Linked DNA regions of Kluyveromyces lactis. The protein of the gene in region 2 purifies or fractionates together with the protein of the main gene of each other region. This does not show direct contact. Links are inferred from orthologs where the notes say so. Each region holds a gene or a part of one and is shown on either strand. Other genes may lie near its edges.

Evidence for each region.
Region 1: the proteins of APL3 (region 2) and APL1 purify together in Saccharomyces cerevisiae (affinity purification with mass spectrometry; 3 studies listed by BioGRID). This does not show direct contact. The link is inferred for Kluyveromyces lactis from reciprocal best matches to the Saccharomyces cerevisiae genes APL3 and APL1.
Region 3: the proteins of APL3 (region 2) and APM4 purify together in Saccharomyces cerevisiae (affinity purification with mass spectrometry, with the first as the bait; 4 studies listed by BioGRID). This does not show direct contact. The link is inferred for Kluyveromyces lactis from reciprocal best matches to the Saccharomyces cerevisiae genes APL3 and APM4.

The regions. Positions count from the first base shown.
Region 1 is NC_006041.1:841,050-848,710, forward strand, and holds APL1 (Apl1p), read left to right. Parts: upstream 1-2,083; coding exon 2,084-4,174; downstream 4,175-7,661. Other genes in the region: mitogen-activated protein kinase kinase kinase SSK1, read left to right, coding at 1-1,505; CMS1 (Cms1p), read right to left, coding at 4,249-5,175; THI73 (Thi73p), read right to left, coding at 5,551-7,086. UniProt on the Saccharomyces cerevisiae protein: Adaptins are components of the adaptor complexes which link clathrin to receptors in coated vesicles. Clathrin-associated protein complexes are believed to interact with the cytoplasmic tails of membrane proteins, leading to their selection and concentration.
Region 2 is NC_006038.1:1,064,697-1,072,551, reverse strand, and holds APL3 (Apl3p), read right to left. Parts: upstream 4,328-7,855; coding exon 1,469-4,327; downstream 1-1,468. Other genes in the region: IST2 (Ist2p), read right to left, coding at 1-173; KLLA0_B12265g (pyridoxal phosphate homeostasis protein), read left to right, coding at 511-1,287; RFC5 (replication factor C subunit 5), read left to right, coding at 4,677-5,744; MRPL16 (mitochondrial 54S ribosomal protein uL16m), read right to left, coding at 5,896-6,561; MSF1 (phenylalanine--tRNA ligase), read left to right, coding at 6,931-7,855. UniProt on the Saccharomyces cerevisiae protein: Adaptins are components of the adaptor complexes which link clathrin to receptors in coated vesicles. Clathrin-associated protein complexes are believed to interact with the cytoplasmic tails of membrane proteins, leading to their selection and concentration.
Region 3 is NC_006039.1:352,049-359,211, forward strand, and holds APM4 (Apm4p), read right to left. Parts: upstream 4,269-7,163; coding exon 2,841-4,268; downstream 1-2,840. Other genes in the region: ARP2 (actin-related protein 2), read right to left, coding at 1-899; MRX9 (Mrx9p), read right to left, coding at 1,337-2,467; ribose phosphate diphosphokinase subunit PRS5, read left to right, coding at 4,978-6,384; putative serine/threonine protein kinase RTK1, read right to left, coding at 6,803-7,163. UniProt on the Saccharomyces cerevisiae protein: Component of the adaptor complexes which link clathrin to receptors in coated vesicles. Clathrin-associated protein complexes are believed to interact with the cytoplasmic tails of membrane proteins, leading to their selection and concentration.

The DNA.
Region 1 (7,661 bases), on a different chromosome or scaffold from region 2:
TTCGTGTTGGACGATGGTCCCAACTGCATAACTCATTTAATAGGTTGTTACACAGGTCCACATCTCAAAGTCCTTCTTTGGATACCGCATTCAATGATGACAATGGTCTTAGGATGTTATCTTCTCAGCATACACGACAGCAATCTCAATCCCCTGATGATAACCTGAAATATGCGTACAAAGTCATCATAGAACCGGATACGCCCGTTATGACGGTATACAGGGAGTTATATGGGGGTTTACAGAAAAGTGAAGATGCTTTAACAGTGTTTTATCCTCCGATGTCTTCAAGTTCTCCTACCTCTCCTGAAGTATTGACTCCTGCTGAACTTTTAGATCCAATACGTATATTCACCAAGGACGCTATAGGACAGGAAAAAGAGATCCTACTCTCAGATATTAGCCAGGGAACTGAAATCGATTCTGTTGTTGAAAGACCCGATCAAAGACGGCCAAGTCTTTTTGGAAGTTTCTCAAGCTCGCGTAATAACACTGGAATACTACTATTACCAAAAGGTGTATCCCCTGAGGATATTGAAGGTAGCAATGATTCTCCGTATGAGGAAGCGAATATTTCCTTGGATAATATTGAAACTTCACCGCCACATCCAGAGAGTTACGCGTTGACAGCCCAGAAACCATTAACAGAAGAGGAAGTGGGTATATCATTAACAAAGACAATATCGTCTCCAGAATTACCTCGTCCACTATCCAGAAGGACCACACCCTCATTAGATAAGCAAGGCAACCTTCCAAAATATAAAGTGTTTCCTCGTATCAACGTGCTTATTGTAGAAGATAACGCTATAAACCAAGCCATTCTAGCATTATTTTTAAGAAAGAACGGAATTTCTTACAAAGTTGCCAAAGACGGAGTGGAAGCAATAGAAAAGTGGAAAGAAGGCGATAGTCATCTTATCCTTATGGATTTGCAATTGCCCCTGCTATCAGGGCTCGAAGCAACAAAAAAAATAAGAGAACTGGAACGAATTAACAATATTGGGAATTTCTCTCAAAAGAGTGTTTCTAAGAAGCCCAATCTGAAAAAAAATGCTAATTCTAAGGAAGAAGGAGGTACAACTGCTGCAAAGACAAGTGATCAGCAAAATGAAGTCGAGAAATCGAATCAGCAGAATATGGTGTTGGACAAATCGAAGTTTAGGTCACCTGTTATAATCGTTGCACTTACCGCATCTTACTCACAAATTGATAGAACAGAGGCCCTATTAGCTGGCTGTAATGATTATTTGACCAAACCAGTCAATTTGGACTGGTTAAGCAAAAAAATAACTGAATGGGGATGTATGCAAGCATTAATCGATTTTGATGGCTGGACTGAAGGACAAAGAAGGATGACTGATGATGTACTTTTGAGACCTCAAATTGTAACGGCAAGAAAATCACAAGCAACTTCTACTAGATCTGTACCGAGAGTTTCTTCTGTCTCAACGACACTTGAATGCGATGATTCTAAATATACAAAATCGAATGACTGTTGTCCGTGAATGAAACCATGGAATAATTGAATTACTTTGAGTTTTCTCAAGTTGTAACAATCATACATTAGCGTTTTACTATAATGGTCATCAGATGTCTTTCTCCGGCAAGAATATTTCAACATTCTTCCCACCTATTACAGTCCACAATCTACCGATAGCATCACTAATTCAACATCTTTTAGGTTTTGGAAAAGTATAATAATTATGACCAGAAATCATGCTATGTAACATTAACAAGAAACTATATTAGTATTGAGCATATATCTTAGTAAATATGACATTATTGAGGTAGCAAACTGTTTCGGACGGTACTGAAGCAGCCATGTCATATTAACCAGCCTTGGATTTAGAACAAATTCTTTGTCCGGGTAATAATAACACCAATCTCTGACTTTTTGTTTGATTTCAAGAACATGTCAAAAGTAACAAACACTAAATTAAAGTACGGTTTATAATGAAACTATCTTATATTTCCCTCAAGAGACAACTGTTACATAAACAACCATATTGCACGAACTGGATTGAGCTGTGTTGATACTATAAATATAAACTCTAATATCATTTCAGTCAGTACGATATTAATTATGTCGGAAAGCAAAATATTCTACAAGTATAAGGCACATGAAATAAGAGGGGAGTTGGTTTCGGATTCTGGTAAGGCCAGAGGTAGTTCGAAGAGGAAACTATGTCTTCGAAAGATTATAGCGAATTTGATCATGGGAAATTATCATGAAATGGCACAATTATTCGTTGACGTTCTACAAATATGGAATAGTGAAAATGATTTAGAGATAAAACGAATGTGTCATCAATATTTTTGCACTTTGACTCCATCAAAGCCTGATCAGTTAAGAATGGCTCTCCCAATTATCCTACAAGACCTTCTATCCAATTCTGAAGAGCTGTGCATTTTATCATTGCGCACAATAACGTCGATAGATGAACCGGAGTATATTCAAGAAGGCTTCCAGCATGTGAAGAAGCTAATCATGACAACTTCAAAAATATCTATTCCACTAAGGAAGGCAGCTATCCATTCTCTGATCAAAATGGATCAATTAGATCATACGAAAGTTTTAGAACTATATTATTTTCTCATGGATATGTTGGACTACGGTAAAGAAGAACCCACAATATTGGTTGCCGCTGTCACAGTACTTCATGAAATTCATGTTAGCAATCCTGATATGAACCCACTCCAACTAACGCAGAACATATGCTTCAATCTCTTAGAGGTATTAGGAAAAATCAATGAATGGGATATTGCGATTCTATTCGATATACTTACTACTGCATACTTACCAAAAACGCATTCTGAAGCTCACCATCTTATCGATCTTTCTGTACCGAAATTGCATAATTTGAATTCATCTGTCGTGCTCAATGCTCTAAAATTTATTATCTATCTAACAAATTACGTTGATTACATTGAAGAGAGGCTTGTGAGAAAGTTCTCAAGCTCCTTGACTTCTTTATTGAATAAGCCTCCTGAAATTCAATTTCTGGTATTGAGAAATGTAATCTTACTTTTACTATCGCGTGACTCTCCACTGATACACCTTGAACCTAATAACTTCTTCATTGAATATTCTGACCCGACTTATATCAAAGATACAAAATTAGAGATTTTATATCTCTTAGCGAATGAAGAAAACACTTCTCAAATTCTTGACGAATTAAAGGGTCAAGCAACAGATATCGATATCCAAATGTCCAAAAAGTCAATCAGAGCAATTGGTAATTTGGCAGTTAAGTATCCACATTCAGCAAGATATAGTGTTGACGTCTTGCTCGAACTTCTAGAATTTGGCGTCGATTACATTGTGCAGGAAGTCGTTTCCATGCTCAAAAATGTTCTAAGGAAATACCCTAATCAGTTTGACTTCGTAGTTCCACTTTTACCGCAATATTCTGATTCCATCCAAGATTCTGAATCGAAATGTGCAATGATATGGATCGTCACCAACCATTCAAATCAATTGGAAGACCCAATAGGTGTATTCCGCAAATATTCTGATAACTTCAATACTGAAGGTCTAGAAGTTCAATTATTGCTTCTCAACTCGGCAGTGAAATTTTTCTGCAGAGCGCAATCAAAAGAAACTGAACAGTTGTGTCTTAAATTATTGTCAGGAGCCACAGAAATTAACGATAATCCCGATCTTAGAGATAATGCATATATGTATTGGAGATTATTGTCATTGGCAGGAAACTCTTCTGAGCCACTATTTAACAACGATGTGGTACGGGACATGATAGATGGTGAACTTCCTGTCATTGAAATCAACACAAAATTGGATCCAATTGTTAGAGAAGAGTTGGAGTTAAACATTGGTAGCATTTTATCGGTATATTTGAAGCCTGTTTCCCAAGTTTTCCGGGGTGTAAGCCCTAAGAAGTTGCCGGAAAGTCCAGCACTTAATCATGAAAAATCATCCTTGTCTATAATTAATGACTCTATCAGTAACAATTCTACTGGAAGTTTCCACGGTTCTGATACTACTCGGAGATCCAGTTCTCCAATTAAGAAAATGACAGATTTCGATAGACCAGCTGAAACAGTAAACCAACTGAAAGACAAAAGAAAATCCAGCATATCTCTTTCAGCGACAAAACTAGCAAGAAAGCCATCGATGCTCGCAAGAAAATTGTCGATGCGGAAGCCTTTCCAATGAACAAAATTAAAACTAGCCACGCATGTCACGAACTTTAAACTAAACATATATATATATATATTCAATCAATATATTTAAAACAGTAAAATCTTTACAGAAGATTTATTCTTCAAAAACTCCTTGAGTACTTTATAGAGAACAGCGGAATCATCTGATGTGAAAATTGTGTTATTTTTTGGATCAAGGTAACTCGCATCAATGAATATATCTAATTTTTCTTTGCCTTGGAAGAAAAGATCGGTGCTCTCTATGATTTTTTGAATACGTGTTGGAGTTGATATGAAATATTTTACAGTTTCTGAGGAAAAGTTTTTACCCTTCATCTTCTTATTGGACTTCTTGTTTTTCTTCTCTGGTTTGGATTCCTTTTTAGATCCAAGCAGTTCCTCCACCTTAGTTATATCATCTTTAAGTTTATTCTTTGAGAACAATTTTACCGCTGTTTGATGGCCGTTAACACTTCTATATACATCTGCAACGCGGATGTTGGATTGAGAAAGAATTATAGATCTAGGTGACTTTGAAAATGTGTGAATGAAATCTTGGAAATTATTCAAACTGCGATCCTTTTCATATTTTTCCGTCGATAAGAAGTCCTGTTTCTTAAAGTACAACTCATCTAATTCTAAAGCACTTAAATCAGGGTTTTTGTCACGGATTGATGTGGCTAAGTACTCAATAATTTTATCAACTGATGCCTTAGGGAGGTTCTCCTTTTGAGCTTTTTCATACGCCATGCGTTCTAGTTTTTTTTGATGGAGAGAAGAATTAGCCAGTTTCTTTTGTCTTTTACTTAAAGGTTTTTCAGACTCTTCAGTGGATAAAGTGTTTCCATTATCTTCCGTATCCAATGCTCTTTTATTCTCTGAAACTTCATCTGCAGTATTACTATCATTGTCCTTATCTAGTTCGACTAGTTCACCATCGGATACCACATCATCGTCTTGGGCATCGTTAACCTCATAAACTAGACCATCATCTAAATCATCTGCGTGTACCATTATGAAACACAGATAAACTGGCAAGGTACTAAACTGTGCTACTTACTAGAAAAGAAATTTCTTAATGTTGGCACTACTCAATCATAGGAACCTCTGTTGAAGCCAATATCAAATGATCAGTTCCATGCGATGAGCTTCAATTTTACACTTTTTCTCTAACCTTGAAGATTCACGGCTTTTCCAACTAGATGGAAAAAGAAAACTGTTAAAAATGTTACCCGTATTTGCGACAGGTTCAAAAACATATTATATCAGTTAAAAAAGCATTAGACAATTGCTTAAGCATACATAGCACACTTTCAACAGGAAAGATGTGGCATTAAGATCAAAACGTATGTTAGTTATTAGTATTATTATTGTTATTATTTGTTTGGTTCAATAAATGTACCTGAAATTCCTGTTCTCAATATCTGTCTTATCTAAGAATTGATACTGTTCTGGTTTAGTTTCGGACTCAGCTTGTTCTTTGTCTCTTCTTCTGTTCTCTGTGTAAGAAGTGTAACCAATGTACAGTTGCAATGGAACACAAACACATTGAGTAACTAGCAATGCGATCTTGGCAGGAATGTATCTTGGGTATGAGTAAGCACGGAACATTTGTGGTGCAACGATACATGCGATATTGTAGACAATCATAGTTAACCCGTTTCTTGCTAGCCTTTTGGTATACCCAGAAGTGTTACAAGTATTCCAGATATAAATGTTCGTAATGGTACATGAACCACTGTATAATAGGTACAACGATAATAGGTTACCGATTTTATTTGTTAACGGTAAACAAATCATGACAATGCAACCAATGATTGCAGGAATGTACATAGATGTCGTGATTAAAGTGAATTGGGAAAATCTTCCTATCAATTGGGTTGTGATTAGAATAATCATGATGGTAACGCATCCGATAGGAAGTTGCAAAAGGGATGTCTGGTAGCTATCAAAACCAAATGTACCTGTGATGGTCACTGAAAAGGTTCCAATGGATCCAGTTGAAATTTGAGAACAACCAGTCAATAATAACATTGGCCATGTCAATTTATCCTTGAGTAACAATTCTTTCACTTGGTGCATCTTGATTTTCTTTGTTTCAAGACCAGTTTGGTTTGATCTGATATGTTCAATGACTTGGACTTTCTCCTTCTCGTTAAGGAACCATGCCTTAGGAACGTTATCTGGTAAATAGAAATAGGTTACTATACCGAATCCCACGGTCACTAAACCGACAACAAGGAACATGATTTGCCACGAGGTAAATTCAGTTCCGTGGTAATGTAAAAACCCAAATGACATTAAACCACCAATGATATAACCGGTTCCTGCTTGAGCAGCCCAGTAACCAATTCTTTGCGTTTGTTCCGATTTCGTATAATACATACCGTTGACTGTAATGCATCCTACAGCACTACACGACTCGAACAACCCTAATAGAACACGTACAATCATCAAACTTGCATATGTCTTACAAACACAATGACAAACGACAACGACACCCCAACATATGATGAACGAGCCCAACACTCGAGACACGGGAAACCTTTGGAGCAAATACACCGCAAACGGTTCTGCAAAGATATACGATGCAGAGAAAATAGTACCCAAATTAGAAAACTCATCACCAACCAAATTGTCCTTGATCCCCATCGATGCGGCATAATTTAACAATGCCTTGTCCAAAAACATCAATAGGTACGTACAGCATAAAAATGGCAAAACAAATATGTCAAGCTTTCTCAACACCTTCTTATCTAACACATGGTTCCCAAAGAAAGTTGTCTTCTCTGTAATATCTTCCTGTTCGATGCTCTTATCGTCCTTCAACTCGGCCGCTGCGGAACTTAGAAGGAACTTTCTAGCTACATCTTCCTCATCGCTTACGGAATAAACAGACTCACTGAGATCTTCTTTATCTGGCATCTTTTCTGGTTTGCCTATCTTGTTGACTTCGTTCTATTATTTTTAAATTGGGGACATATCTTCAAATTTACCAGGGAGGTAATTCGATTCATACTTCGATCCGATGAGGTTCTTTTATACTTCTCGATCCGTCCAAAGATTCATTCCGATTCCTAAACCACTAAAGGTAACTACAAGAACTGAAAGAATTGAAAAAAAGTCTTGCCAACAGAAACAGGCAAGTGCAAGAGAAAAGGACCATCTGGCCCATCTGGCACCTTTTTTCCATTCATTTCACCTCATTTCATGCAATATGCATGTATGTAGCTCAATGCAAGATGCGGTTACGTTGATCTGGCTAAAGCAGGTAACGTGACTAGCAAAGGGTCCTACTATCTTAGATAAGCTGATAATGTGATTGTGTCAGAATAAAAATAGAACTAGAGAAAAAGAAAAGGAAAAACGTGCGCGACGAGGCTCGAGAGAAGCGTCAGATTAAATTGTTAACGACAGAATGCAGGATTATAAAAAAAACATAAAGGGTTTAGTGGACATACTAGATCTGTTGTCTCTTAGCTTCTTGGCATTTAGTCCTT
Region 2 (7,855 bases):
AGCACGTTACCCAAATCATCCCTAACAAAGACATACACATTCTTCGCATCATGTCCAGGTCTGCACTCACATAAAAGACCCTTGGCACCTAATTCAGCCAACAAGACCGACAAATTCTCTTTCGAGTATTCAACCACTAATACATAATTAGGGTCTAATTCAAAAATACTCATCTTCACAGCACCAAGAAAACACACGCACGTACCTAGGTTAATTGGAATCTCTTAACTAACAGATTAAGCACCAAACTGAATGCTAATTCTCATCACAAAACTGAAATCAAACCAATCCCGTTTCAATTCATTGAATTTTAATCGCGTTTTGCTTCTTTCCATTTTCGATTTGTCTTTTTTGCAGCTCCCCTACATCACGTGACAAGTATCAACACTTTTTTCCAAGAACGGCTTCAAGATATAAAGGAATTTGCTCGATGATTCACAACATCTGATAAGATTAAGTGATGAGCACTTACTTTAAATTTTGGTTTTACCCATATTATAGTGCTTTTGAATGATTCGCAGGGGACTGATAGTAGCAAGAAGAATGTCTAGTGATATCAGTTACGATGCTGTGAGGAAAGAAGAGCTGATTGGGGCTTATCAGACGATGAAAGATAAGATCAATGCCACTGCTCAGGAAGTCGGTAATGTTAACGTTGAATTACTAGCTGTTTCCAAGTATAAGCCTGCTGCAGACATCAAAATTTTGTATGATTATGGTGTGAGACACTTTGGGGAAAACTACGTTCAAGAGATGATTACGAAGAGTGAGATTTTACCCCAGGATATTAAATGGCATTTCATCGGCGGTTTGCAAAGTAACAAATGCAAGGATTTGGCTAAGATTGCGAACCTTTACTCGGTAGAGACCGTTGATTCGTTAAAGAAGGCGAAGAAGTTGGAAGAAGCCAGAGGGAAGTGGAACCCGGATGCACCCGTGATCACGTGTAATGTTCAGATCAACACTTCTGGAGAGGAACAAAAATCCGGATTGTTCGCAGAAGTAGAGGTGTATTCGATTGTTGAATATCTTATCAAGGAGGCCAAGCATGTTAGTTTGAATGGATTAATGACTGTAGGATCCTGGGACGTATCCCATTCAGGTAATGAAGAAAACCAAGATTTTGCTAGATTAGTTGAATGGAAGAAAAAGCTTGATGCAAAATACGGCTTGGACTTGAAACTCTCAATGGGTATGACCGCGGACTTCAGACAAGCTATCAAACAGGGAACTTCCGAAGTTAGGATCGGTACTGCCATTTTTGGTTCAAGACCACTTAAAAACTAAAACAACGCTTGATTTCAATTGATGTATCAAAGAGAAAGCAAACAAGAACCCAAGAGAAGCACCTTTTGTGTATATACGCGCATTCTTGGCTTCTTACTTTATACTGTTAAATATTGCATTGTGCATCAATCCATACTTCTATTTTTACAAGTTCATACATATAAATATATTTTTATTTCAATCACTCCTCAACTACCTTTTTGATACAATTAATCACGAATCTAGAAAGGTCACCACTTGAAGTGGTTTTACAGGTAATTTGTACCTTATCGTCAGAATCCAGTAATCTCAACTTAAGCAAGCATCCGTAGTTACCATCACTCTTTGTATGTAAAATACCACCAGCAAATGCAATGTTTGGAATTGACGATTGTTGGACAACGTCAAAACCAACTTTTGACATGGTTTTCATTAATTTTTGTAAATTTGTATGTTGGCATTCGACAACGTCTACATGTTCGCCCGCTTTTCCAAGAGAATCACCGATTGACTTCCAACGTTGAACGAACTGGGCTAACTTAATCTCACTGATACGAGGTGATAGTGTAGAGAGAATGGTATAACCAATTTTTAGCCTGTGACTACAGTACTGACCGCCACATTTAAATTGCGATGACAACAAAGATGCATGTTCTTGTGGGAATGGGAACCTTGTTGTTATCTCAAAAGTATATGATGTTCTGCCGTTGGACGGTGCTAACTTTGAATCCGGTGATTGCAAGACTTGCAGCACATATGGTGGGTTGTTGTCCGCACGAAGTGGAATAATCTCACAACTTAATCCTGTAATTTCCCAATCTGATTTGTTCACATATGTGAATGTGATCTTGCTTGTTGATGGTTGCTCTTCCTTGGTTTCCACTCTAAACAAAACACTCACCAAGGTATCCTGATAAAATACACCTTGGGTATGAATTAGCATCCTTTTAAAGCCAGATTCCCATCCAGGAGTTAGTTGTTGTGAATGATAGAGCTTGTTGTTTTTTCTTGATCTTGGTGGGGTGGGTAAGGATGCGGGTTTGTTGTTAGAGTCTACAGTGTTACCACTGGTGAAAGGTTGCTCTAGGCTCAGTAGTTCTTGTGTTTTCGGAAGCTTGGACATTATGTCCGTATCTTTGCTAGAAGCAAATGGTGGCATACCGGGTAATAACTTATCTATAAAGGTCATATCGTTCATCTTCGAATATTGAATTATCTTCAAATATTCATAAGATCTCGTCTGCAAAATGACGTCAAATGAATTCAACTCTAATTGAAAAAACTTCACAACAACAGAAGATAACTGCGGTTCGACGTGATACAACTTTAACATTCCTGTTAGTATCATTGCCTTAGTCAAATTACTGACTTGGAAGTATTTTTCAGTGAAAAGGTTAAATAGATCCCCAGCTGAGACTTTGTCGTTAACCAGTGACGCATATTCAGCTAAAAGGAAAACACCAGCCTTCACAAGCGATTCCGCCACGTTAGGAGCATGTAAGTAATCAATCAGATGTTCACACGCTAGTTTATGTAATGGTTCATTGTTCACCACTATCTGACAAATTCGCTTCCAAACATGATCATTCTTGATTGATGTGTTTGATGATAATAACCTTAACGAGGAGAGCACAAACCAGTTGAGATCATCTGCGTGCAGCTCTATCAGCCTTTCAATTTGGAACGACAAATCTTCTCTCAGAGCAAAATCCATTGATTTGTGGGCTTCTAATGCACTTAAAAGCTCTTGAACGACAAATTTGAAATTGCTTACGTCTGTTAAGATGACAAGGAGATCAATAATTTTTCTCAATAGAGTAACGTCACTCTCTCTTTTTAACATATCAACTAATCTCGTGAGATGTTCATTTTGAATTGTCTTTATCGCAGTTGTTCCATTTACTTTACAGATTTTGATTAAAAGATCGAAAGTTGAATATCTCGTATTCAGGTCATTAGATGTCATTAGTTCACAAAGTCCTGTGACGGAATTTGAAATAGCCTCATTAGTAGGATCCAGTTTACAAGCAAAACCGAGCATTGTAAACATAACAGAATACTGAGCATTTTTGGTGACCGGATTGGCATCACTTGCTAATGCAAACGATACCGCATGTGATACACAAACCCGTAACTTACCCAGGGTCTGTTGATCAATATTCGATCCGATCAAATTCTCTCCGTTATCGCTGACCAAGACTTGTAAAAGAGATACACAATTCCCTACAATCCATGGGTTAGATACTCCCGAAAATTGGTAATCTGCATCATTTGCACTATTCTGCTTTTTCGATAGACATTCATGCAAAATCTCAGCTAGTTGCGGGATTAACCTCAAACATGGATTAACGTCAATCTCTCTAGCTATAAACTCAAGTAAAGGCAAAAGTGAAAGTAATAATCCATGATCGTTCTCATCCCCTAATAATGTAGTAATTCTTTCAATCCATAGAGTTCGTTTATTATCTTCAAGATTTGTAAGGATTTGCGGTTTATAACGAATTAAAGTTAAAAACGCCAAGCATGCTTTTCTTTTCAAAATGGCTGATGAGACAGGAGATCTAAGAATTCCGAATATCGTCTCACTTAGATTATCAGCAAAGATTTCATCACGATTCCCAACTATTCCGACGAAGTTCAACGCCAAGCTTACTGCATTAGCGTCGCCAGATGATAGATCCAGTTTCAAGCATGAAATAGTCTTCTCCAGGACGCTGTTTCTCACAACAGCATGGTTGAAAAGGAGTTCAAGTGTCATATAACCAATCCATTTTTCACTGAAGTTACTGCTTTTCAACAACTGGAAACATTGATCCAATCCGAATAACAACTCAGGAACCATGCCAGCATTAGTAGTGATATATATATATGCCATCTTAGCAACATATTTTTTCCTTTGATACCCATTGAGCCCACTTTTCTGGGTAAACTGAGTCCGTATATTCTGTAGTTCAGTTTGTATTCTCCTAGCATGCTCTTTAGTCTTCTGGTTTGCTCGAAGGTCTGCAATGAACAATTGCAAACCCTTCATGTTGTTCTGTTGATTCTGACCTAAAGCCATTGTTAATTTCTTGATTCTGACTTGTAAGACACCAAATAACTAGGAAGATAATCAAGTGGCACTGCTAATCGATAACAACTAGTAAGTGTACAGATAAAAATGGTACCTACTGCTGGTATACTATCTAACTTGATGTTGTTGTTTTAAGGCTATTGAAGTTACGTCTACTTGAAATCATTTGAATTTCAAAATGTCAACGTGAAGAAACGTTTGGCGAAATTGTTAATAAAACGCATCACGAAAAGTACTTGAGAGACAATTAATCAAAACGCATAGCAGGCGAACGAGCCATTCCAGCGAGTTACATTGAGCTACATCGACTAACAAGATTTAAAATTCCTATACGAGAATGTCTTTGTGGGTTGATAAGTATAGACCAAAGACTCTACAGTCATTAAGTTACAATGAAGAATTAACAAATCAATTGTACTCATTAACGAGACAACCTCAAGATCTTCCACATCTGTTGTTCTATGGACCCAATGGTGCTGGTAAGAAGACTAGATGTATGGCACTGTTGCAAGAAATATTTGGTTCTGGGGTTTACAAGCTGAAGATCGACGTTAGACAGTTCGTCACACCATCCAACCGTAAGCTGGAGTTGAATGTAGTCAGTAGTCCCTACCATTTAGAGATTACTCCGAGCGATATTGGTAACAACGATCGTGTTGTGATACAAGAATTGATTAAGGAAGTCGCTCAAATGGAACAAGTAGATTTCCAGGACTCCAAGGATGGTTTGGCACATCGTTACAAGTGCGTTATCATCAACGAGGCAGACTCGTTGACTAGAGATGCCCAGGCAGCATTAAGAAGAACTATGGAAAAATACTCTGGTAACATCAGGCTTATAATGCTATGTGATTCAATGTCCAGTATCATTGCTCCTATCAAGTCTCGTTGCTTGCTAGTTAGAGTACCATCACCAAGTTTGCAAGAAACTGTGTCTATCCTGCAGGATTGTTGTTCCAAAGAAAAAATAACTGCCGAGGGCAATTGTCTAGAGAGGATAGCGAATCTGTCAAAGGGGAACTTGAGAATGTCACTCTTAGCACTAGAATCTACCTCACTACAAAATGAATTGCATTTAAGAAACGATACACCTTTGAACAGACCTGATTGGCAATTGGTGATCCATAAAATGGCTAGGAAAATATTAAAAGAAAGAACTGTTAATAACCTTGTAGAATGCCGTTCCATAAATTATGATCTATTAGCCCATTGTATTCCTGCCAAAACCATAGTCCATGAATTAACGACGCAATTGCTTTCAGATGCCCAGTCAGATCCGTTGAAGTTGGCAATTATCGATACTGCATGCACTTTTGATCACCGTCTCAACCTTGGAAACAAAGCAATCTACCATTTAGAAGGGTTCATTGCAAGGACAATGTGTGAAATAGATAAATATACGTAAGTATTAACTTTTGTAGTTTGACAAACAACCAAACTTTACTCATTTGGGACTTTAAATCTTGAATCTTTGATAGCCTATTTACAGATAGTGGGATTAGCTCTCACAAAAGTTATACGTAAAAGAGTCGTTTATATACACACATCGATCTATTTCAACGAGCCCTGAACATTCTATATTCCGGTTGCTGGGACTTCAACTTTGTAATATATTCCTTTGTAGGTTTCTTCTTTAGTTCTTCAAAGTAATTGATCTTTGGATCGTCCTTTGGATCTTTTACACTCTTGATACCTACTCTTACCAGAGAATCTTTCGATATGAATTCGTATAGGCCAGGAAGCTTGGTTGCTGCCTTTCTAAACGCCTCACGTGCTACTTTCTCGTGTAGATTGTCACCTGCCATCTCAAAGATCACTTTACCGGTGGGTACTCTGACCATCCAATGGTCAAATCCACCCTTACCTTTACCCATTCTGGTCTCATTACCCTTGATACAAACAGCAATGTTTGTACACAAACGACGCCATAATTGACCGTTATTCAAAGGTCTAACGTATCTCATAATAGCATTATCGGCTTCCTTCAACTGTAACGCAGTAAGTCTCACACCTTCAGACTTCAATCTTAAACCAAATTGACCAAATTGAAGCGAATTACCCTTAGTAGAGCCACCGGTACGCACTGGCACACGACCCTTTTGCTTCTTAGTCTGGTTCTTGAAACGTGGAGCATATTCATGTGTAAAACGCCTAGCGGTTACTTGCAGACTTTCTAATGGATTTAGTGAGCGAAATCCAGTCTTGAAAACGCTGGAAAACATGGTGATCTAATTTACGATAAAGGAGGCTCACTGATCTGAAATAAGATCCTTGCAATGAGGCGCGAGGGACTGTTTTATGCTGCTTTTCAAATCAATTTCTATGCTCTGGATCTTCTTTTACTTACTCTTAAAGCTTTTCATTATTGAAAAATTTTTGGTGAAGTTGAAGATATCTTGAAATCATGTGACCTTCTACATACATTCAAAAGAAGATACAAAAGTCTCGTTAAACAACACTTGATATACCTGTTCTGGTGATTTCAGGCAGTGAAATATCACTAGTAATATCATTGCTAAGGGATTACCTTTGTTTTGTTGATTGAATTGCCCCAGTTTTACTGTTATTAAGGGTTCTTTAATACCGAAACGATGTCGAATAGGACGATATTGTCAACTTTGAGACCATGTTTAAGGTTGTTTAGCACCTCCAATGTGGCATTACAGACACTTTCTGTGAATGGAAAGACGTACCCAGTATCAGATAAGACGAATGTAACTAGTTCGATTTTGAATTTGACTGATCGCGCTGTTTATTTGAAACCATCACACCCTGTTGGGATCTTAAGAAGTGTTATCGAGGACAAGCTGAACGACCCTCATCACTCATTCGAGATCTATAACGATTTCAAACCTGCGGTTACGGTACATGAGAATTTTGATTCTTTGGGATTCCCAGAAGATCACCCCGGTAGATCGAAATCTGATACCTATTACTTGAACGATTGTCATCTGTTAAGAACGCATACATCTGCCCATGAGTTGGAATGTTTCAAGAATATCAATGGGTTTGTTCCTGGCCATGTGGGTAAGACTGATAAGCCTGGATTTTTAATCTCTGCCGATGTCTATAGAAGAGATGAGATTGACAGGACTCATTATCCGGTGTTCCATCAAATGGAAGGTGGTAGAGTTTGGAAAAGGGAACCGGATAACCAACATTTATTAAAGATTAAAGAAGATCTCGAGAGATTGGAGAAAACTTTGGCAGACGACCCAGTGAAACTTGTCGTGGAAGATAACGTTTCCTTGGAAGGTAATCCAAAGCAGGAATACATGACGATGGAAGAAGTCGATTTATGTTCTCGCCATTTGAAAAGATCTTTGGAGCTTGTTGTATTGGAAGTCTTCAAGAGAAAGTTGGCAAGTATGGGTAACGTGAAGGGAGAAGAGTTGAAGGTTAGATGGATTCAAGCTTATTTCCCATGGACTGCACCATCATGGGAAATTGAAGTGTTCTGGCAAAACAATTGGCTTGAGCTCTGCGGTTGCGGTCTTATCCGTGAAGACGTTTTAT
Region 3 (7,163 bases), on a different chromosome or scaffold from region 2:
ATAGCTTTATAAAGTGATGTTCTGATATCCACATCTGCTGCTTGTATTGTGTTGAATAAAAGTTCACCCACACCTGGTTGTTCGACATCAACTAAACTTGGTTGGAATAAACACTCTGGTGCCTCGAATCTTTCCGGTCCAACCTTGATGACTCTCCCATCGGGTAATTCATAAGATTCCACTAGAGTAGTCGTCTCTCTTGCTAATTTTGTGTCCAAGTCTAGATCATAAGATACATAACAAAGCTTTTCTTTAATTTGACGAACAGTTTCGAAATCGGCAGTTCTGTTGAATGCATAACCGCGGCGAGACAAAAGGTCAATTAAGTGTCTGGTTACATCTCTCCCAGCAACGTCTAACCTTCTTGTCAAATGATTCAAAACAACGGATTCATAAACAGGAACAATGTGAGTAACACCATCACCGGAATCAACAACGACACCCGACGACAAACCTTGAGCATATAGAGCTAGAACGGCTTGAATTGCAACGTATGTGCCACCAAAATCATACTTCTCGAACATAACTTCACACATTTGTTCTCTGTTTTTAATGGGGTTCATTGGTGGTTCGGTAAGTAGTACCTTACCGCCGGATGTAGTTGGCAATTTCATCTGCTCAAAGAAAGCATAATCCCATAGTAATTCCATATCTGCCCAGTTTCTGATGATACCATTTTCCATTGGGTACGAAATCTGTAAATATGAACGAACTTCACTTGCTTCATCACCAATCATGATATCTTTCAATGGGGTAGAAGCATGACCTCTTTCTTCAGCTCTAAGAATCGGTCTACCTACGATGGATGGGAAGGTGTAATCTGGGAAGTTCTCACCAGCACGGCCAATTTTCACGAAACCAGTACCCTGATCAAGAACAATTGGAGTATGTGGGTCCATTTTCGCTTTATTAATGGGTTGAAGATGCTCACAAATGTCCGTTTGATTTAATTACCCCAGTTCCACTATTAAATCTGATGAAATAAACCTTTATTTCCTCTCTTTCTTTAAGAACATCTCCTATTTCCCAATGTTGTTGATGTCGTTTTTCACGTAAATCATGTGATCATGTTTGTCCATATAGAATTTATCCAGGAGGTATAAAGCTATTGGCACGTCACAAGATAGCCGCTAAATCGTTGGATTTACATGTAAAGCATGTTTTCATATGGTTCAAATGAATCTTATAGTTTGCTTGGATATGTGTTATATGATCTTTTTTATTTCATTGATGAATATGTATAAATTGTGACGGTTTGTGTCAACTTAAATAGATTTTGTGAAGTGATGATTCTTAATAATGTCATGTCAGTACCTAGGTGAGGGCGTTAGTTCTTTTAATCACTTTCGTACGTGTATTCTTTACTGCCGTCCTTTTTTCGTTTTACACTATATTGTGCATTTGCTCCAGTTTCTCCGACGTCTGTAATGAAGCAACATTTCGAAAATGGGCTGAGAGCACGTACATAGATGACCATCGGGGATAACTTAGAATCATCAATGTAGTCACCAGTGAACATCAACAATTCGTCCCCTGGGTTTGCCTTTGTAACGATGTAAACCAATGCAACTGGTTTACGGACTCCCTCAGAACCCATGTTCAATAGCATAAATGAAAAAGCTTGGATGTTTTCGTTATTTCTGACGCTGGAAACAAAAGAGTACGAGTTTGTTACTAACTCCATGTGTCCTGGAACATAAGCTGTATCACTTCCTAAAACTATGGATTTGATGTTGTGTTCGTTTTTATAGAAACTCTCATCTAATCTCGATTTCACAAAGGAAAGAAATCTGTCTGCGTTGGGAAATTCTCCCGATTGAAACTTATCTGTAAATGCTTGAGAGAGCTTGAAGGGGAATCCGCTGAAGTCCTTTAGCTGGGTAAATGACTTGAATTTTGGGACCATTTGCTTCATTATCAATTCTCTCCTTGTGGTGGATGAAAGCTTCATCTTAGTTTGATTGAAAGCATGATCCAAAAGCTGCATAAGTTTCCTGGTTCTAAAAGCTTTGAATTGATACCACCCTATTCCAAATATCACCATCGGGAAAAGCAAAGCAAGTAAGAAAGGCAAAACAAATACTATCATTGTTATGAATCCAGCGAACAGTAACGTGGAAAGAATAAAGGAAAAAGGGCTGATTGAAAAGATAAATCTGGGATTGTTAAAGGGACTTTTTCTGAAAGGATCCCGTCCACCAAGTACCATGTTTCTCGGCGTAGAATGGAAATTTCGAAGCGCCATCTTCACAGGAGAGACCAAAATATTCTGGTTATAATGTAAAAGATTCATCCGGGGATTCAAAGCTGCCAGGAGTGGGAACCGTGGCACCAAATTCACAAACTGACCCGTCTTGACACATCCATGACTAGCAGGACTGTATGCTTTTAACTTTGTCAAGGATTGAAATGGTCGCAGCCCAATCTGTGATTTAACGCACAATTGAAATCGATTTAGGGGAAGCATCTCACAGAAGAATATCACAATGTCTGATGTGCGGAATTGTATTTTCTCAGATTTATACCAATAAGCGATTACTTCTGGTAATGCAAAATGTCTTCATAGTCTTGAAATCTATGAAGCTTCTTAATTTACAAAGGAATTTTATAGGAATTTCAAAGGCCAAATTGTCTATATCATCGCAAACCCCATACTAAGATCGCAGGATGACTTATAATCTGCTTTCTGTTCCTTTAAACTTTTGGAATATTATTACTACATTGTTTAAATAGGAAAAACATGAATAATATATACATATCCGGGTAAACTTTTGTAAACCAATTCGTTGCACATTAATATGAAGACACCATTATAGGGACAAGTCATCCCACTCAGTGGACTAATATCTTATCTCGTATGCTCCTGAATGTGAGATATATTTAATCCATTTCACCGGTTGATAATTCAATTGTGGTTCTTGACATTTCAAGTGTCTCACCACAAGTCCGGAATTACTAAACATTACAATTTCGAAGCCCATTGATATTGGCGGTCTTGACCATCTTAACAAATCAGATAGATCGTGGGAAGTAGCAGGGATTGCCACCTTACCGCTCAGAGTATTTTCTGTAGATCCTTTGTATTTGTTGTATTTCCATACCATGCATTTTTCTCCGGCATCGTACTTACATTTTCCTCCAGAGACGTTAAAATCGCATTTAATCGTGGTTGGGGGCACAGGTATTTTAACTGTTACATCTTTGGCAGAGACATTGGATGGGAAAAGTGATCTTAACGTTACCTTGTAATTGAGTGTAGAGTTCTTCACGATTTCTACCTCCGGTATGACGTTGAATGGGATATTAATGTTATCAATGACACGGTATTGCATCAATTGGAATGGCCCGTCAGGAGGAACGAATTGAATAACGTGGTTGGCCTCGTACTTATTAAGTTGGACACATTGATGGAATTTACAATCTTCTAATATTACAGAGCCTGCAGCCGCATTCGGTATAGCTTTCTTATTCTTAATATCGTACTCGGACATCATTTCAACAATGGACAATTCTGACTTTTCGTTTCCATGAATCGAATATGTGTCATTCAACCCTAGTTGGCATAGAGGCATACCTGATAGATGTGATACACAATCCACGGATCCATCAACAAATGATTTCACAATTGACCCATCTTTACCTACCAATATTGTGATCTTTTCGTTGATATCCAAATATACCTCATTCTTCTTGTATTTCAACCCACTTGGCCTCCAAGGGCATTCAGATAATGAAGACAAGGCAATTGAACTTGAGGACCGCTTTGAAAGCTTTGGAGCCTTTAGAATGTTAGATCCGGATAAGAAATCATCCAAATCGGGAGATTTGCTAATTGTGTTATTCTCTATTGGTTTTCGTGATACTCTTGGTATTATTTGAGCTAAGTCCGTTGTTTGTGGGATGCCGTTCTCCAACGTCAGTTCTAAAATCTCATACAATAACATAAATTCATCCTTTAACACGTCTTCATCGTTAATTCCGAATGCTTCCATTAATTGGTACAACTTGTGTAGGTATTCCCAGATCATTGAACTATCCACATTCGATCTGGATACTGCTACAAGCCACATAGGCAAGTTGTCGCTACTTTCTCTGATAACATGTTGAAATGTCGTTGAGCCCAATGTCAATATAGGAGACCTCACATGTGGATCATTGATGACTTGGGTTCTAAACACATCTGCCAGTGATCTTTTAACATGGTCTTTGATCAATTTACTGATCAACAAATCACCCTTTGCATTGTATATAAATATAGCACTAAGCATGCTGCGTGTTGGTCAACGATAATTTTTATACTGTAGGTTACGAACACCACCGTTTCAGTTTTGCACTGCCCTGTGTACCTCAAGTGCCTGAAGTTACAGTTTAAGGAACCTTTACTGAAATATACGCTACATAGTTCAAAATTATTGTTGTGCTATTTATCAAACCTTTGCAAAATAAAGCAAAAGCTGAGAAAAAGAACAAGAACGTTGACGAGATGTTATTATTATATAGGCAACTCACTGATGGATTGGTTTGTGCAATGATAGATTATTGGAACAGAAATTGTATCTTATTCATTCCCTTGCTTTTGCCCCAACTCATTGTGTCTAAGCTGTATATATTTACTATTGGAAAGCATATAATGTCAAGGGAATTATAACAGATCTGAACAAAAAGGTCTTACGCAATACCTAAGAGTAGGCCATTATGAATAAACATGATATATCCATGGCACTACTGACAATGCGGCTCTTCTGGATGAAACACGGGCCTTTTCAGGTAATTCTTCTTTTTTGAAGATTCTCTGCAATGTGCTTTACTATCAGTAGGTCCGAAAATTTTTATAACAATTTGACAGAGATAACGAGATCGATCGGTACAATGATCATACAGATACGATCATAAGAGGTGAATTGAACGCTGAACCTGTATTGTACTTCATCCAGAAAACTACTGTTTAATAAAGCCCTGTAAGTCTTGTCGAAAGAAATGAATAACATCGTCGTTTTTGCTGGTAGTTCCCATCTCGATTTAGTGAATAAGATTTGTGAGAATCTAGGTATTGAAAGGTCGCAAGTGAAGCTAGGTAAGTTTTCAAATGGTGAGACCTCCATTAGTATCGAAGAATCTGTTAGAGAGAAAGATGTTTATGTGATTCAAAGTGGATGTGGCCATGTTAATGATAACTTTATGGAGCTATTGATTCTCATCAATGCCTGTAAAACAGCTGATGCATCCAGAGTCACTGCTGTGATGCCATACTTCTCGTATTCAAGACAGCCTGATATCCCATACACAGCTAAGGGTGCTCCATTAATATCAAAGCCTAAGGAAAAATATACTTTTGAGTCACATCCAGGAACCCCTATCCCTCAATCCATGCTAACAGTAGAGAAGCCCATGTCCCCAAATTCAAGTAGGCTAGATGCCGCAAGCTCAGCTTCTTCATCAGGTCCTCAGTCTCTACAAAGTCCCACTCCTTTGCGTCCAGTAGAGTTGAGACCCACCTCATCTACTTCTTCGCGTATCCCCATGATTCCAAACGGGAAGGCTGAACATCCATCTGAGCAGGAGCAAGATTCAAATGCAGACGCCCTCTTTAACGCAAGCAATTCTAGTTATAAGCTATGGGTAGCCCAAGCAGGTACTTTGATCGCTAATTTGCTAACTACGTCCGGAGCAGATCATGTCATCACTATGGATTTACATGATTCTCAATTCCAAGGATTCTTTGACATTCCTGTTGATAACCTATACTGTAAACCTATCACTCAGGCTTATATTCAACATCATATTCCTAACTATCAGGATTGTGTCGTTGTTTCTCCAGATGCTGGGGGTGCTAAGCGTGCTGCAAAAATCGCCGATGTCTTAGAACTTTCTTTTGCTATGATTCACAAGGAAAGAAGGTCACAGCTTTTGAAAGGTCCACCTGGCGCCACCTTAACATCAGGTGGTGGCGTTCCAGTATCGACCAAACCTTTAATTGAGTCACTGGATATTAGGACAAGTCTCTCCAATAATGGAAACAATAAATACGTGAACACTACTATGTTGGTCGGTGATGTCAGAAACAAAGAATGTATTATTGTTGACGATTTGGTTGACACCTCATACACCATTACTAGAGCAGCAAAACTCTTGAAGGACCAAGGAGCCACTAAAATATATGCTTTGATTACACATGGTATTTTCTCAGGAGATGCTCTAAACCGAATTGGACAGAGTGTTATTGATAAGATAATTGTCACAAACTCTATTCCACAGGACGAAACAATTAAGGTACTAGGTGCTGATAGAGTTGAGGTTCTAGATGTCTCTAATATTTTCGCCGAAGCCATCAGAAGAATTCATAACGGAGAATCGATAAGTATTCTTTTTGAACATGGATGGTAGTAATCGTACCGAATTTGTGATTCTGCTTTTAAGGTTGTTTTATGTAATAAAAATATAAATGTATATACACACACAAATGTATCAATTTCAAGTTGGTCTCACTCTATTGTTCTATTGGGCCGTGCAATGGTGTAATGTCAATAGCTTGTAAAATTCATTCTTACATTGGAAGAGTTTCTTTGGATGATGATGGTTTCCCCAGATTTCTTGGTCTTCATGCATTAGGCCGAATTTGAAAAGAATATGCACGACAAATGCTACATTGCCCTTTATTTGGGAAATAAGTTCTAAAGTCTCCAAGCTATTGCGAGAGTGCATGATGTTGTACCAAATGCTTGGGTATGATTATGAATGAATGTTAAGATTGTTTATGGTTATGATATGGTTCATGATGCTGAGATATAGGTGCAAAGTTTTATCACTCTTGTGTCGTATTGTGATTTAATTCTGCTGCTCTCCGTTCGTTAGCCTCCTTTTCTCTCTTCTCAGTAAGCTCTTTTAATTCGTCTTCCGTAATTAAATGATGCTTGTGGTTAGTTGGTGGATTGATCAATTTTCCATCGTTGTCAACTTCGCAACAATGTATATTTTGGAACCACGGGTCCGCTAAAACTTCCGGCATTAAGATTCTCTTGTGAGGACTTAGTTCTAGCATTCTACCAATCAATGGTCTTGAATGACGTGGAAGTAACTTCAAAATCTTGTATGGACCCTTAGTGTGATCGTTCTCATCATCTGGATTTTGAGCAAACAATTTGAATGACACGACCTCTTCGCTT